Macaca mulatta: one gene and its partner. The protein of the gene in region 2 interacts with the protein of the main gene of each other region in a biochemical or structural test. Links are inferred from orthologs where the notes say so. Each region holds a gene or a part of one and is shown on either strand. Other genes may lie near its edges.

Region 1 (7,308 bases), on a different chromosome or scaffold from region 2:
CCTATGCCCTGGGCCTGCCCAGCAGAATCAGTTCCTTCTTCTCTGCTTGGACTCCCATGGGCCAGAACCTCACCCTGTCCAATGCTGTCCAAGGGAAGGGTCTCAAAAAGGTTCTTAAAAGTCTTCACGTCCCCCTTTAGCCCATCCCTCTGGGGGGCAGTCTGAGAGAAGGGCAGTGCTGAGGAGTTGTCACTGGATAGATGCCCCTCACCGTCCTGGGGATCCACTCGCTGTAGGTGACCCACTTGGACCTTGTCTCTGAAAGCATCCAGGGGCTTTGTTTCAAATAGCCACAGGGTGGAGCGGACATCACCAGGGACCACTTCCTCTTTGGGTGGGGCCTCTGCTCCAGCCTCCTCATCCCCCTTCAGAGTGTCCAGCGCTCGGGTCTCAAACAGATGCCGCTGCTGCTGAACATCTGGACCAGGTGGGATAAGGTCTGGGGATGGCTGGAAGTCCTTTTCATCTACTAAGATCTCCCGGATGGCATCCAGGGGCTGTGTCTCAAAGATCCAGCGAGTTGCACTGACATCGGGCCGGGACCCCTCCTCCAGGGAAATCCCCCGGATCACCCGCACCTGGCTGGGGTCCTGGTTGATGGCGTCCAGAGGCCGGGTCTCAAAGAGCCAGCGGGCAGACCTCACCGCGTTGCTTTGGATCTCCTCCCGGCATGCGGCCTTGACCTCATGGATGGCACCCTCTGCATCCTGGATGGCACACAGGGGCTCCGTTTGGAAAAGCTTCACTGTCTTTTTCACATCACCCTTCAGCTCCTGGATCTCTGAGCGCAGTTCCAAGGGGCTCTGCTCCTGCAGGGAGGGGCGGGAGCCCAGGCGGTCCAGCGGCCGTGTCTCAAAGAGCATCCTGGTACCCTGCACATCTCCGCTGGCTGCAGGTTCCCTCACAGTGGCCTCCAGTTCCTTGGCCTGCCCTGTCAGCTCATCCAGTGGCTTTGTCTCAAATAGCCAGCGGGCTGCACGAACGTCCCCTCCACTTGGCTGGGGCCTGGTTGGCTCCTGGTCTGTGCTGTTGGCAAAAGAGCCTTCCTCAAACTTGCGGGAGGTGGCCTGGACGTCACCACCCGGCACAGGCTCCTTGGCAGCTGGCCTCTCGTGATCTCCAATGGCATCCAGTCGCCAGTTCTCAAAGATCCATCGCATGCACTGAACGTCACCCTCAGTGGGTTCCTCAGAGCCCAGGACCTCGGCCAGATCCTCGGCCACAGCCTCGGCCAGATTCTTGCGGAGCTCAGGGTGGATGTGCCTGTAGAGGCGGCGGAGTTCACTAGCTTGCCGCTGCTGGTGGAACTTGGAGAAGGACTCCTTGGGTGGTGGCAGTGGCAGGTCATCCAGGGCTGGGGGTGGAGGGAGGGGCAGGTCCTCTGCAGTTGCCATCCTCATGGTTGGTGTGGGGGCCACCTGTGTCTGGGCGTCGGCCATCCTTCTGAGAAGAAGGGGCAGAGATGAGGATGGGATGGGGGGCCTTAGATCTAGATGTTCAGCAGGGTAGAGGCTGGATGCTGGGAGAAATGGCAGTAAACAGGGCTCAGGGTCAGAGTAGCTCTCGGTGACTTACACTTAGAGACTCCTTGCCTCTCTTTATGTGCCTGGCCTGGGTTTCACTTTGCTGCCTGTTGTGGGCAACAGGTCTTGAACTTAGGACATATGGACCCATTAATCACAGTGGGTTCCTGCTTTCCCTACATCTCCTGGGTTGCTAGGGAGCAACCATGGGACAACTGGACATGACACTCTTTCCTTTAGCTCCATAAGGGATGCCTAACTGGACAGGCCCCATCCTCGCCTTCCTTTGTTAAAAATCAGTGTTGCCCTAGAAGACTCCCAGGAGAGTGGCCTGGGGGAATCCTGACTTTTGGAGTCCCAGCCTTGGAGGGACAGGTCTCTAACCTGGTGACTGATTTCCCATGGAGACGAGATTCCTTTGCAGAACACCAGAGGGCAGACTTGCCATGTTGACCTGGAGTGCTGCCTAACTTTTCTCTCTTGGCTGTCAACGCACTCCAACCTTTCCCAGGCCCAAGGAGGCAAGCGGAGGCCAACAGCCCATGCTAGGGCAGAAGCAGTTGAGGATCAGGGCTGGGAAGCTGCTCATCAGATATCTCGTGGTTAGGCCAGATCCAAATTCTGAATCTCTGGTCAGGGTTTTCTGCACTATACTCCAAGACTGAGAATGTCTGAGCTAGGGGGATCTCAAAGGTCTTTTAGCACAACCATTTATAAATAAAGACGAGGGAACTTAGGTCCAGAGTCAGATCTTGGTGAATAAATGGAAGGCAGTGCTGGCTTGGGGTCCCTAGACTCTATTTAGGGCATGGGCCCAAGACATAAGAGGGTAGGAGGTGTAAAGCTTTCTTATTGGCCATAGGACCAGTCTATTCCCCAGCAGGCACCCCTCGGAGGATATGAGGGCGACACCTACCAGGGAGAGGACCATGGGACCAGGGTCCTTTCTGCAGAGACAGCTCTGCCCCTTGCCCCTGGAGACCGCTCTCTAAGCAAGCAAGCACAGCTTCAGGGGCTCGGACTCAGGGGGGCTTCAGGCTAAGCCCTACCCCTCCCTGGCTCCACCCCCACCCCTCAATGGCCTCCCACCCCTCAAGCGCTTCTCTGGTCTCTGTCCATGTATGTCTTATCTGTCTTGTGACAGGTGTACTAACAGTCCCCAGAGGCCAGTAGGGAAAGAATGGGAAGCATGTGCCCCCTCCCGCTGCCCCTGACCCACTGCTCTGCACCACACAGGGTGCTAAATATAGCTGATGTTCTGGCCTCAGAACAGCAGCCCGGGGCTCAGAGGGAGGCTGAGGCCCAGCCAGTGGGGATCCTCAGTGCCCTTGGCTCACCTCGTCTCCTTCGTTACCCTGGGCTCCCCTATCCTGCCTCCTGGGCTGGTGTCAGGCCCCTGGGCTGCAGTCCAACCAGGTGCTAGAACCTGGACACCTTCCCTGGCCAAAGGAGTCTGCGGTGGAGGGAAGTACTGGCAGCAAGTGGGGCAGGACTTCCTCCCTATGGCTACCTCAGAAGGAGGAGAGAGGAAATTGAGACCTCCTGACCCCATGCCCACCCTGGCATGTCCACCAAAGACATCAGAACCTTTGGGGAGTGTGAGCTCTGAAACCTGTAACCTGAGTCTCATCAAAGCTCTGCGTGGTTTTCTTTCATTTCTGAGCTCCAACGAGGATCCCCTGCCCAAGGCAAACCTGTGCCTGTCTCCACCTCCACTCCATCCTGTCACCAGCAGGGTGACCTGAGCAGATGGCATGGGCAGACCATCAGCTTCACCCCACCCCCACCCCCAGGAATTTCCAGAATCTCTGCTAAGGCCACAGGCAGTTATTATCATGGAGTCCAGGGATGTCAGGCCTAAGGACCCTCAGAGATCACTCAATCTAAACCCCTTATTGTTCAAATAGGGAAACAGAGGGCCAAAGAGGGGAAAGGAGCTGTCCAAGGAGGCTCAGCAAGGCAGTAGCAAAGCCTGAAGCATGCCTCCTGACTCCTGGCCTTCTCACCACCATCCTTGCCTGGCTTGAGACTCCTGGGGCAAGTGTAGAGTCAGGACAGAATTCATAACTGGGACCAGACTTAGGTGGGGTGACCCCAAGAACTGTCCTAAACCTTGGTCTCCTAGGGCTGGGCCAACCTCTCAGGATGGTCCCACTGCTGTCCTCAGGTTACCTCCTCCTCGGCCCAGCTGGCTCCATATGTCTTTACATCTGGGCAAATTCAGATCCGGTCTCCCTCCCCTGAGCGCCCCAGATCTGCCCTGGGGGCTTTCCCACTGGGCAAGACCATGGGCAGAGTCCAAATTCCACCCCAGGTTTTAGGCTATGATACGTAGGGAGCTGGGCTCCGGCCAGCCCCTGGGAGCTATGCCTGGGCCAGATATGCCGAGAGTGTCATCCACAGCAACTAGGCATGGGGCTTGTTCTAGCAATGCACACTCAGGCCTACCTACGGCCCCTGCTCCCGCCTCTCTTCTGTTCCTCCTTCCTCCAGACCCTGGGCCTGCCTGAGGCTTCCCTGGGAGGAAGCCCCGAAGCCTGAGGCATTCCATACCTGTATTTTAAAAATCACAACTCCAGGCCTTACTGGATCATGCCAGCCTGGCAGGACCCTGTCCTTTCTGCTAGCTTCAGGCCTGTGGCAGCCACTCTGAGAGCTCCCATGGGGCTCACACTGTCTTTACCTCCTTTGTGGGTTCTTTATATCTGAGACTTCCACTCACCTCCTCCCATGCATGCCCCTCAATCTCCTTCCCCCACTCAGAGCCACCCCTAATACGTCCATTCCAGGAGGGCAGGGGATCCCAGCTGTGAACGCCAGCCCTGCCGTGGAAGGACAGAGAGGTAGGTTACTCACCGAGGGTCTCTCTTGGCTGATGGGGTGTTTGGGGTCTGTAGCAGCTGTGGTCTCAGGGTTCGTCGTTCCTCTCGAGGTTCTTGTTCAAATTGGTTCTGTTCTGCTGGCTCCAACAGACACCTTCTTGCTGCCCTGGCTCCGGGTCTCTGTCCCCTGCCAGCCCCAGCAGCTGCCTTTATCTTGCTGGCTAGTGGGTGGGCCGTGGTGGGGGCGGGCGGGAGAGGCTATGTTCAGAGTATTAAGTGGTTTGGTTATTTTTAGGTCTTGTGGAAGTCACTCTTCCATCCTGGGGAATCAATTACATGTCCTTCGGGCTGGGGAGGGGAAACAGAGGGGGAGAAGCTTCATTCATCCAGAGTCTGATCTGGGGATTGGGGTCAGTGACTCAGCTGGGTTGTGGGGTTGGGGGTGTCCCAGACTATTTTGAGAGAGTGAATAAGAAGGGGCATCTGACACCTTGGACAGCTTGCCCCCGTCTTGTGAGCCTCCATCACTCTACTCTGGTCCTGCCTCTGACTCTTCCTGACGTGTCTCCACCCACTGTGCCAGGAGACTGGAGGTCTCCTGAGGGCAGGCTGGGCCTCTCCTCCTCTGTTCTGAGCCTGAATACCTCTGAGTGTGAAGCTCAGCTCTTTTTCTTCCCCATTCCCTTCTGCACTAAAGAATTCCTTCTTTCTTATCCATTCTTCCCCGTGCCCCACAGCACAGGTCAACACGGCCCTGATAAAGCTGGATTTTGGGGGAAGACATCTGAATGACAAGGCACAGCTCTTCACTGGGCCGAGATTGGCCAGGTCCAGCTCCTCCTTTGCGCCACCATACCCGGTTAATTTTTGTATTTTTAGTAGAGATGGGGTTTTACCATGTTGGCCAGGCTGGTCTTGAACTGCCGACCTCAGGTGATCTGCCTGCCTCGGCCTCCCAATGAATGAATTCCACAGCAGGACTCCGTGGTTTTCATCCCAGATTAACTGAGTCCTTTCTCTCTTCTCGACTCTTCCCTCTGACTCAGGGCCCAGGCTTTCTGGGAACGGAGGGGAGGGGAAGGGCGGCATGCAGGGAGCTGACCGTGGGGTTATTTCTGACCCTGGAGTCATCAGCTTCCCAGTCACAGATGGAGTGGCAGCAGGGAGGGGGGTCACACCTGCCTCCTCCTTTGCTTACCAGGGTCTGAGGGGCCCAGCAGGCCCAAGAGATCCTGGCAGTCAGACCAGTGTGGTGAAGGATATCAGGGGACCATCCACAGAAAACTTGAAAGAGGTGTTTCATCCTAGGTGGGCCTGGCCCAGGCTCCATGCCTGTGGGTATGCAGGTGCATTCTGTGGCCTGGCACATGAGGTCTTCCTTCTGACTCCCCAAATGCCCTCTGGTACCAGGGGATGATGCCAGACATTGCTCACTTTTTCCATGTAGTCAACGTCAGTCCTGCAGTGGCAGCTGGAACGGGGGCGAGGACATCTGGGAACCCCTCTTCCTGGTCTCCCTCCCTCTTGTCTCTTCCCCTGCTCTTTTCTAGCCCTCTACCTGTCCCGCAGGCTCCTGGCTCTCTCCAGGAAGGGCAGGGAGACCAATGTACCAGTGTTTCAGGGAAGGGGCAGCCTTAGGTCTCTCCGAATTTCTCCCAGGAGGAGCTTTCTCCCTGTGGATGCTGAAAGTTCCTACTTTCTAGGTTAGTTTTGAGAATTGAAGGAATTATTATATGAAAAGAGTGCCTCCAGCCAGGCACGGTGGCTCACACCTGTAATCTCAGCACACTTTGGCAGGCTGAGGCTGGTGGATCACTTGAGGTCAGGAGTTCGAGACCAGCCTGACCAACATGGTGAAACCCTGTCTCTACTAAAAATATACAAAATTAGCTGGGCATGGTGGCACACGCCTGTAATCCCAACTACTTGGGAGGCTGAGGCAGGAAAATTGAACCTGGGAGGCAGAAGATGCAGTGAGCTGGGATCGCAACCCTGTACTCCAGCTTGGGTGATAGAGTGAGACTCTGTCTCAAAAAAAAAAAAAAAAAAAAAAAAAAAAAAGTGCTTGAGAGCACTTAGCACATAGCCTATGCTTTAGAAGAGCCAGCTATTATACTGTATATAACACAAAAAAGAAAAGCTCCTAGGTGGAACTAACTTTTGTATTCACCTCCTGTGATAACCATGGGAGAAATTCCTCAGGCCTCAGTATTAGGAAAGAGGCTCTTCTTGAGCACTTGGTTTCTTTGTATCTAGTACAGCTGTGCTGTCCAATACAGTCGCCACTAGCCAAATGAGGCTATTTAAATTTAAGTACATTAAAATGAAATAAAATAAAAACTCAGTTATTTCACTACACTAGCCATATTTGAAGTGCTCCATAGAGACAAGTGGCTAGCAACTATTATATTGATTTTGTTTGTTTGTTTGTTTGTTTGTTTGTTTTTGAGACGGAGTTTCGCTCTGTTGCCCAGGCTGGAGTGCAGTGGCGCGATCTTGGCTCACTGCACCTTCTGCCTCCCGGGTTCAAGTGATTCTCCTGCCTTAGCCACCCCAGTAGCTGGGATTACAGGTGTGTGCCACTGTGCCCAGCTAATTTTTGTATTTTTAGTAGAGATGGGGTTTCATCATGTTGCCCACACTGATCTCAGACTCCTGACCTCAGCTGTTCCGCCTGCCTCGGCCTCCCAAAGTGCTGGGATTACAGACATGAGCCACCGTGCCTGACCTGAAACTATTATATTGAATAGTGCAGAATGTTTCCATTATTGCAGAAAGTTCTACCAGATAGTGCTGTTATAGATGTTAAAATAAATAAGTAAATAATTTTTTTCTGGAAGGAGAATTGTCAATAAAATAAACAATTTTTATAACATATGGTGTTTCTCTTTGCCTTGGCTGCTAGGAAACTCAGAGCTAAATTTTTAAACTAGCAAGTAGACTTTATGGTCCAAATTCTCTGT
Region 2 (6,184 bases):
CTGTCTCAAAAAAAAAAAAAAAAAAATTAGCCAGGTGTGGTGGCGCACACTTATAGTTCCAGGTACTCGAGAGGCTGAGGCAGCAGGGCTTGCTCAGGAGTTCAAGGTTACAGTGAGCTATGATCAGGGCACTGCACTTGAGCCTGAGCAGCAGAACGAGACCCTGTCTGAAAAAAAAAAAAAAAAAAAAGGGATCTGCAGGCCAGGTACGGTGACTCACGCCTGTAATCCCAGCACTTTGGGAGGCCGAGGCAGATGGATCACCTGAGGTCAGGAGTTTGAGACCAGTCTGGCCAACATGGTGAAATCCTGTCTCCACTAAAAGTACAAAAAACATTAGCCCAATGAGGTGGTGTGTGCCTACAGTCCCAGGTACTTGGGAGGCTGAGGCAGGACAATTGCTTGAACCCGGGCAAGGGAGGTTGTGGTGAGCTGAGATGGCGCCACTGCACTCCAGCCTGGGTGACAGAGCGAGACTCTGTTTAAAAAAAAAAAAAAGGATCTGGAAGTTATCCTGAGGACAGAGTTATCCTGAAGCCGCTGAGGGTTTTCAAGTAAGAGAGTGCTATCACCAAACTTACGTTTTAGAGCTGTCACTCACTGTGACTGTGCTGTGAGCGGAGGCGAAATTGAGGGAGGAAAAACCAGATTGGGAGGCCATTGTGAGAGATAATGGTGGCCAGAACTCAGGTGGTGATAAATGGGAAACACAGAGAAGTAGGTAGAGCCGAGAGATATTTAGATATTTAGGACAAAACTGATTTCAGAGTGGCGTGTTTGGGGAGTGAGGTAAAAGAGAGACCTGGGTGACTTCCAGGTTTCTGGCCTGTACAGCACATGAACGGGAGTAACACTCCCGGGAAAGTGACCTCTGTGAGATGAGCAGGCTGAAGGGGAAGGGGCCGCTCTTTCCTCCTCCCTTTTAATAAACCAGCACTCCTGGTGTCTGGCATGGGGTTTGTGAGTTTGGAGTGCTTGTGAGTTTGGAGTGCAAGTGGTCTGGTCTGGCAATTGTATGTGTGATAAGCTTGGGATTTGGGCACGCCTGGGTTTCAATCTGTACCCCACTACTTAGAGGTATGGTTTCAGACTCATCACTGAAATTCCCAGGGCCTTGGTTTCTTCAGATGGTAGTAGCCCCACCTCATAGGGCTGTTATGAGGATTAATGAGGGAGGGCCTTTAAGGCTTAGCACCCAGGGCCACACTGGCTGGCTGGAAGTGGGCAGGCTGGAGGTCTGTGAGCTTATCAGCCACACACAGGTGGAGGCAGCTGAAGCTGAGGGGGAAATTAGCACATCTAGGGGTGAGAGTGAGGGGGGCAGAGAGTGAGGAGGGGTGTGTGGGAAGAGGGAGGAAGCACAGAGGCTGGTGAGAGGTGAGAGAGGTGGGGAGGTCAGGGATTAGGAGTTGGGGCCTCGTGGGTTTTTCTGCCAGGCCCACCACCGTGTGCTGAAATGCCCAGGTGGGTCTAGATTGTGGGATCAGGTGAATGAAAGGCGTTTTCCCTGCTCCAGCTACTCAGCTGCTCATTTATTCACTCATACCCATTCACTCACTCATTCACACCCAGGGCCAGGGAGCTCCATCTGGTGGGGGGCCGTGGATACATGGCCACAGCTCAGGGTGGTAACTGCAGCTAGAGATGTGTCCCAGGGCAGTTTGGGAGCTGGGGGCACTGATCCAGGAGGGGTAGGGAGGGGTCCAGGAAACTTCCTGTTGGCCAGGAAGATGAAGAGGGTGGGGAGGCAAGGGTGTTTCCGGGAAGGGGCCCAAATTCAGCATGGGTGCCCAGTTAACTAGTGGTGAAGGGAGGTTGGAGGTGGAGGGTACAATGGGGAGTGGGCTTGCTGCCCAACTCATACGGCTGCGGAGGCTGCTGTCTGAACCTGGGGGGCCTTGGAGACCTTGTGAGGAAGAAACTTTACTCTGGAGCAGGAGGGAGTCACGGAGGGCCCTAAACCAGAGAGGGGTATACTCTCTTTAAAGTGACCCCCCTCAAGCTGCAGCATGGAGAGGAGGTTGGAGGGAGCTGACCAGGGCAGGGCTGGGGCAGGAGTTCAGGAGGGAAGCCCTGTGCAAGCTCAGTGCTGGAAACGGGCATGAAACAGGCCAAGTTGATTCAGTACCAGACTCGGAGGAAGGTGCTGAGTCTGCAGGTGGTTCTGTCTGCCTGCTGGTTGAGGAATATTCCTGTTTGAGTCAGTGCTCACTGTTTTAAAGTCTTAATTTGAAAAACATCCTTGAGGTCAGGCTGAACTGAAATTGGCCTCCCAGGGGTCCTGGGGCAGTACTGTAGAACACAGTATCCACACCCTGTACTGTCCACGAACCCTCCCGCTGGGACCCCTTCCCACATCCCCGAGCCCCCGCCCCCAGTTCTTTCAGGCACTCTGCCAACATCCCAGACCTCACTTCTGCCCCAGGACCTTCCCCTCGACCTGGGTCAATCTTCCAGGGGACAGCCAGGCTGCCTCTGCCTACCCAGGGCCCAGTTTCTCGTGTGGCAGGCCAGAGGGCAGCCAGCCACAGAGAGCACACCCGCAAGGAACAGCCAAGCCTCTGCGACAGCCGCACTTTATTTGGAGTTTTCCACCTAAGCAGCTCCCAGCTGAGCTGCATGACATGTGCAAAGTCCCCTAGAAAGCTGGGCCTCGCAGTGTGTAAAAAAGGCCCCCCATGGGGCAGAGCCGTGCAACCATTTTAAAAAAAGAGACAGTGAGAGAGAAGTCCGGCCCCCTGGGAGGCTGGCTTGGGCAGAATGCACATCGCTCTGGCCGGTCCATGTGCCAGGCCACTCCTGCTGATTCAGGGGCTGTTTTCTTCTCTGATTGTGCTTTCCTTTCCAAGTCCTTAAAAGTCTGGGGTTGAAGCTACCAGAGGGACCAGACCAAGTCCTCAGGGACAGGGGGGTGGCTGGCCGGCGGTGCAGATTGAGGGTGACCTCACACACAGACACCCACAACACAATGCCCTCCCACTGCTCAGCCCTGCCAGAAAACTCAGGGCTTCCCTGGCCTCGAAGCCCACTTGTCAGCCCCTCATGTCCCAGCCTCTGCCCCTGAGCCTGGCCCCAGTCTGTGAGTTAGCATATCACGTTCCCGGGGAGGGACACTGTCCTAACACAGACAAGGTCCTCCAACCCCCGGGGCGCAGTGGGGTGAGGAGGCTGTGCCTTCACTTCACCCCCAAGGCAGGTGTTTGTAGTGTCTGATTCTGTGCGTGTCTGGGTGTGGCACGTGTGTGTGTGTGTGTGTGTGTGTAATATGTGTTTGGCTGGAGGTGGGGGCTGAGGCTGGGGAGGCACTTTTGGCATTCAAGGGACCTTGACTTTGAAGGGGCTTCCAGGGACACTTTCGTCGCCCCACTTGACGATGAGGATGTAGTCCCCTTTCTCCTTGACGGTGTAGGTGACATTGTACACCCGGTTCCCCATGTGCTTCACGTACACCTCCTCACAGGGGGTCTTGGGGCCGTGCACGCCCACCATCATCATGTTGGTGCCTGGAGAGGGAGGCAGAGGGACAGGCTCACACCAGGGAGTCCCCTACTGTGACCCACACCCTGCTCCCTGACGGCCTCTTGCTCACACCCTGGGAGACACCCTCCCCCCCGCCACCTGCCTGCTTTGCTGCAGTCCACGGTGAAGGAGTTCTTCTGGCCTACGAAGGCCTGGGACAGCCCAGGGCCCCGAGTCACCACCTTGCTGGCATCTGAGGAGAACTTGGGGATGGAGCTGTAGCTGGAGCCCCGGCTTGAGGAAGACTTGGTCACAGTCTCCACCAGAACGGTGGATGTTTCGTGAAGGCTGTGGCCTCCGGACAGCCTCGGACCTGAGGGGCGGGTGGAGGGGGCACAAACCTGGTCAGGAGGGCTTCCTGTTCTTCCCCAGGCAGGGGACCCTCGGCCAGCATTGCCACCCTGTGGGACTCACTGCCTGCATTCGTGGCTCCCCTCAAATTCCTCCAAGGGCCACTCTAGGAGCACAGCCTCATTCCCAGCCAGGGCCCTGAGCTGCCAGCTCCAACTGGTGCTCCACCCCAGGGCTGGGGCCTCAGATGCTGTGACCTTCACCCTTGCAGGCTTTGGGAACTCAGGCTAACTCACAGGGTTAGAGTCACTTTACAAAGGAACACCCACCCAACGCATCCTACAGACAGCCTCAAGAGGGGAGCTTGCTCAATACTGACTGTGTCTTCTTGGAGCCGAGGAATATGGGAAGCCAGGAGGGGAGAAAGTGATGCTAGAGCCTGAGGAGCCAGCGCAGGCCAGAGCTGAAGGAGTGAGGGGCCGCGATGGAGAGGAAGAATGGGACTTTTACACCATCATGCCTGACTCCACAGAATGTGTGCTGTGTAGAGCCAGGCCCACCTCTAGCCCTGGTAAACTGACCATGGTGTCTGGGGTCAGACTATGGTCTGGATGTGCGTGGCCACCGGAGCCCTCCAGGCTGGGCTGGGCTGCAGGTTGGATGGACCTCCCTGAAGCCAGCACTCACCAGTGACCTTGGCCTTGAAAGGGCTGCCCACGATGTGCTGGGGGCCACCGTACTTGATGGCAATGAGGTAGTTGCCAGGGGCCATGGGAGTGTAAGTGACCACGTGGCCCTCAGGACACTCCCGACAGTCCAGCTGCACCTTGGAGGGGCCATCAATGGTGACAGACAAGGCCCCCGAGCCGGCGTTCAGGGTGTTCACGATGAACTCTGATGACACACCTAGAGGCCAGAGGTAGCAAGGCTGAGGGCAGGAAGGGCTTGTGGCCCAAGAGGGGCTAGGCTCCAGTTCCCTGGGCAGCCTCTGTGGGGACTCCTGGCTCAGGAAGCAGGGCTCCTGCCTCTGGAGCAAGGCAGCACCAGACTAGTGGCCAAGTACCCCTAGAAGTCACCCTGTTCCCCAGCTCCAGGCACTCACCAGTAGTGCCTCCCTCGAGCCCAGGACCATAGGCTGACACCAAGCCTGGGTCCCCAGCCTGGCTCTGCTCCCCAACGCGGATCTTGAAGGGACTTCCAGGGATGTGGGCACCATTGAACTTGACATCAATGGAGTGGACGCCATTCTCGTGGGGGATGAAGCGGATGGTATGCTTGTCTGTGGATAGAGGGTTGGTGGCTTACCCTCCATCCTTCCCCTCCCCTTCTTAGAAGGCCCCAGCCCAGCAGGGGGTTGGCAGGGGCAGGGCCAGCTCACCACTGTCTAGCTCAGAGACGTAGCACTCCTCCACAGCCCCCGAGGGTGTGTGCACCCGGGCATCAATCACGCCCCGTGCGCCGTTCAGCTGCACAGCAAAGGACGCCGGCTGGTTCACCTTGAGCCCTGTCTCCTGCAAAGGCCAAGGAGGATGCTCAGACTGCTGGGAGACCAGGGCTGGAGCACTCTTCTCTGAAGCCCCACATGGTGCTCACCGTAAGCCCAGCACAAAGGCTGCCACCACCCTACGCCCAGCCTGGCCCCTGCCTGCCAGACCAGCCTGGGAGCAGGAGGAGCCAGGGTCTGGTATGCAACCCTATACGTGCACCTGCTATCCTAGCTGTGCTTGGTGTGTGGGCGATGAGAGATGATGTACCCTGTCCTGGCTGAGGAAGGAAGGGCCCCACTCTGTGTGAAGCAGGCCGAGAGCAGAGAGCAAGTGCCTGATGGGCTGTGTGGGCTGGTGGTGCCAGAGAGCTCTGAGGTAGGAAGCTGAGTTTGGCTGGACTGGCCTGGGAAAGCTTCCTGGAGGAGGTGGACCAACAGGGAGGACCCAGAAGAAGCACAGAAGGGCTCTGGGGGAGGGATTGGAGCCTGCATTGGGGAACCCGGTTCAGGAGTGGAAGGAGGAGATGCACAAGGACCCTGGATGGGCTAACGTGACCACCCTGAGGGGCAGCCAGGAGGCGCGCGGGATAAGGAGCTGGGGTGAGGCCTATTCTATGCCCCTTATGCACAAGCTCCTTTACAGTGTGTCCCCTGGACACCTGGCCCCCTGGTTTGCCTGTTTCAGTGTGACTTGCTGAGAGCCTTCCTTGCACATGTCCGCTATGACAGAAGGAAAGGAAGACACCACATCTCTAGAAGTCAGCAGCAAGAGAAAGCAAGCCAGGCTCCCATCGGCCTGGAGAGGACGCAGCCCAGGCTCTGCAGGCCATAGGCATTCCCTTTAGAGGAGCCTCTCACACCCTCTCTGCAAACTGGTTTACTCTTAGT

Evidence for each region. The genes of interacting proteins can lie anywhere in the genome.
Region 1: the proteins of FLNC (region 2) and XIRP1 form a complex in vitro, tested with the Homo sapiens proteins (2 studies listed by BioGRID and IntAct, with this or other methods). The link is inferred for Macaca mulatta from reciprocal best matches to the Homo sapiens genes FLNC and XIRP1.

The regions. Positions count from the first base shown.
Region 1 is NC_133407.1:101,491,087-101,498,394, forward strand, and holds the start of XIRP1 (xin actin-binding repeat-containing protein 1), read right to left. Parts: upstream 4,756-7,308; 5' UTR 4,380-4,755; intron 1,520-4,379; exon of another isoform or gene 1,444-1,519; 5' UTR 1,440-1,443; coding exon 1-1,439. UniProt on the Homo sapiens protein: Protects actin filaments from depolymerization. Required for correct cardiac intercalated disk ultrastructure via maintenance of cell-cell adhesion stability, and as a result maintains cardiac organ morphology, conductance and heart beat rhythm.
Region 2 is NC_133408.1:168,490,946-168,497,129, reverse strand, and holds the end of FLNC (filamin-C), read right to left. Parts: intron 5,322-6,184; coding exon 5,189-5,321; intron 5,090-5,188; coding exon 4,913-5,089; intron 4,717-4,912; coding exon 4,498-4,716; intron 3,833-4,497; coding exon 3,623-3,832; intron 3,504-3,622; coding exon 3,316-3,503; 3' UTR 2,563-3,315; downstream 1-2,562.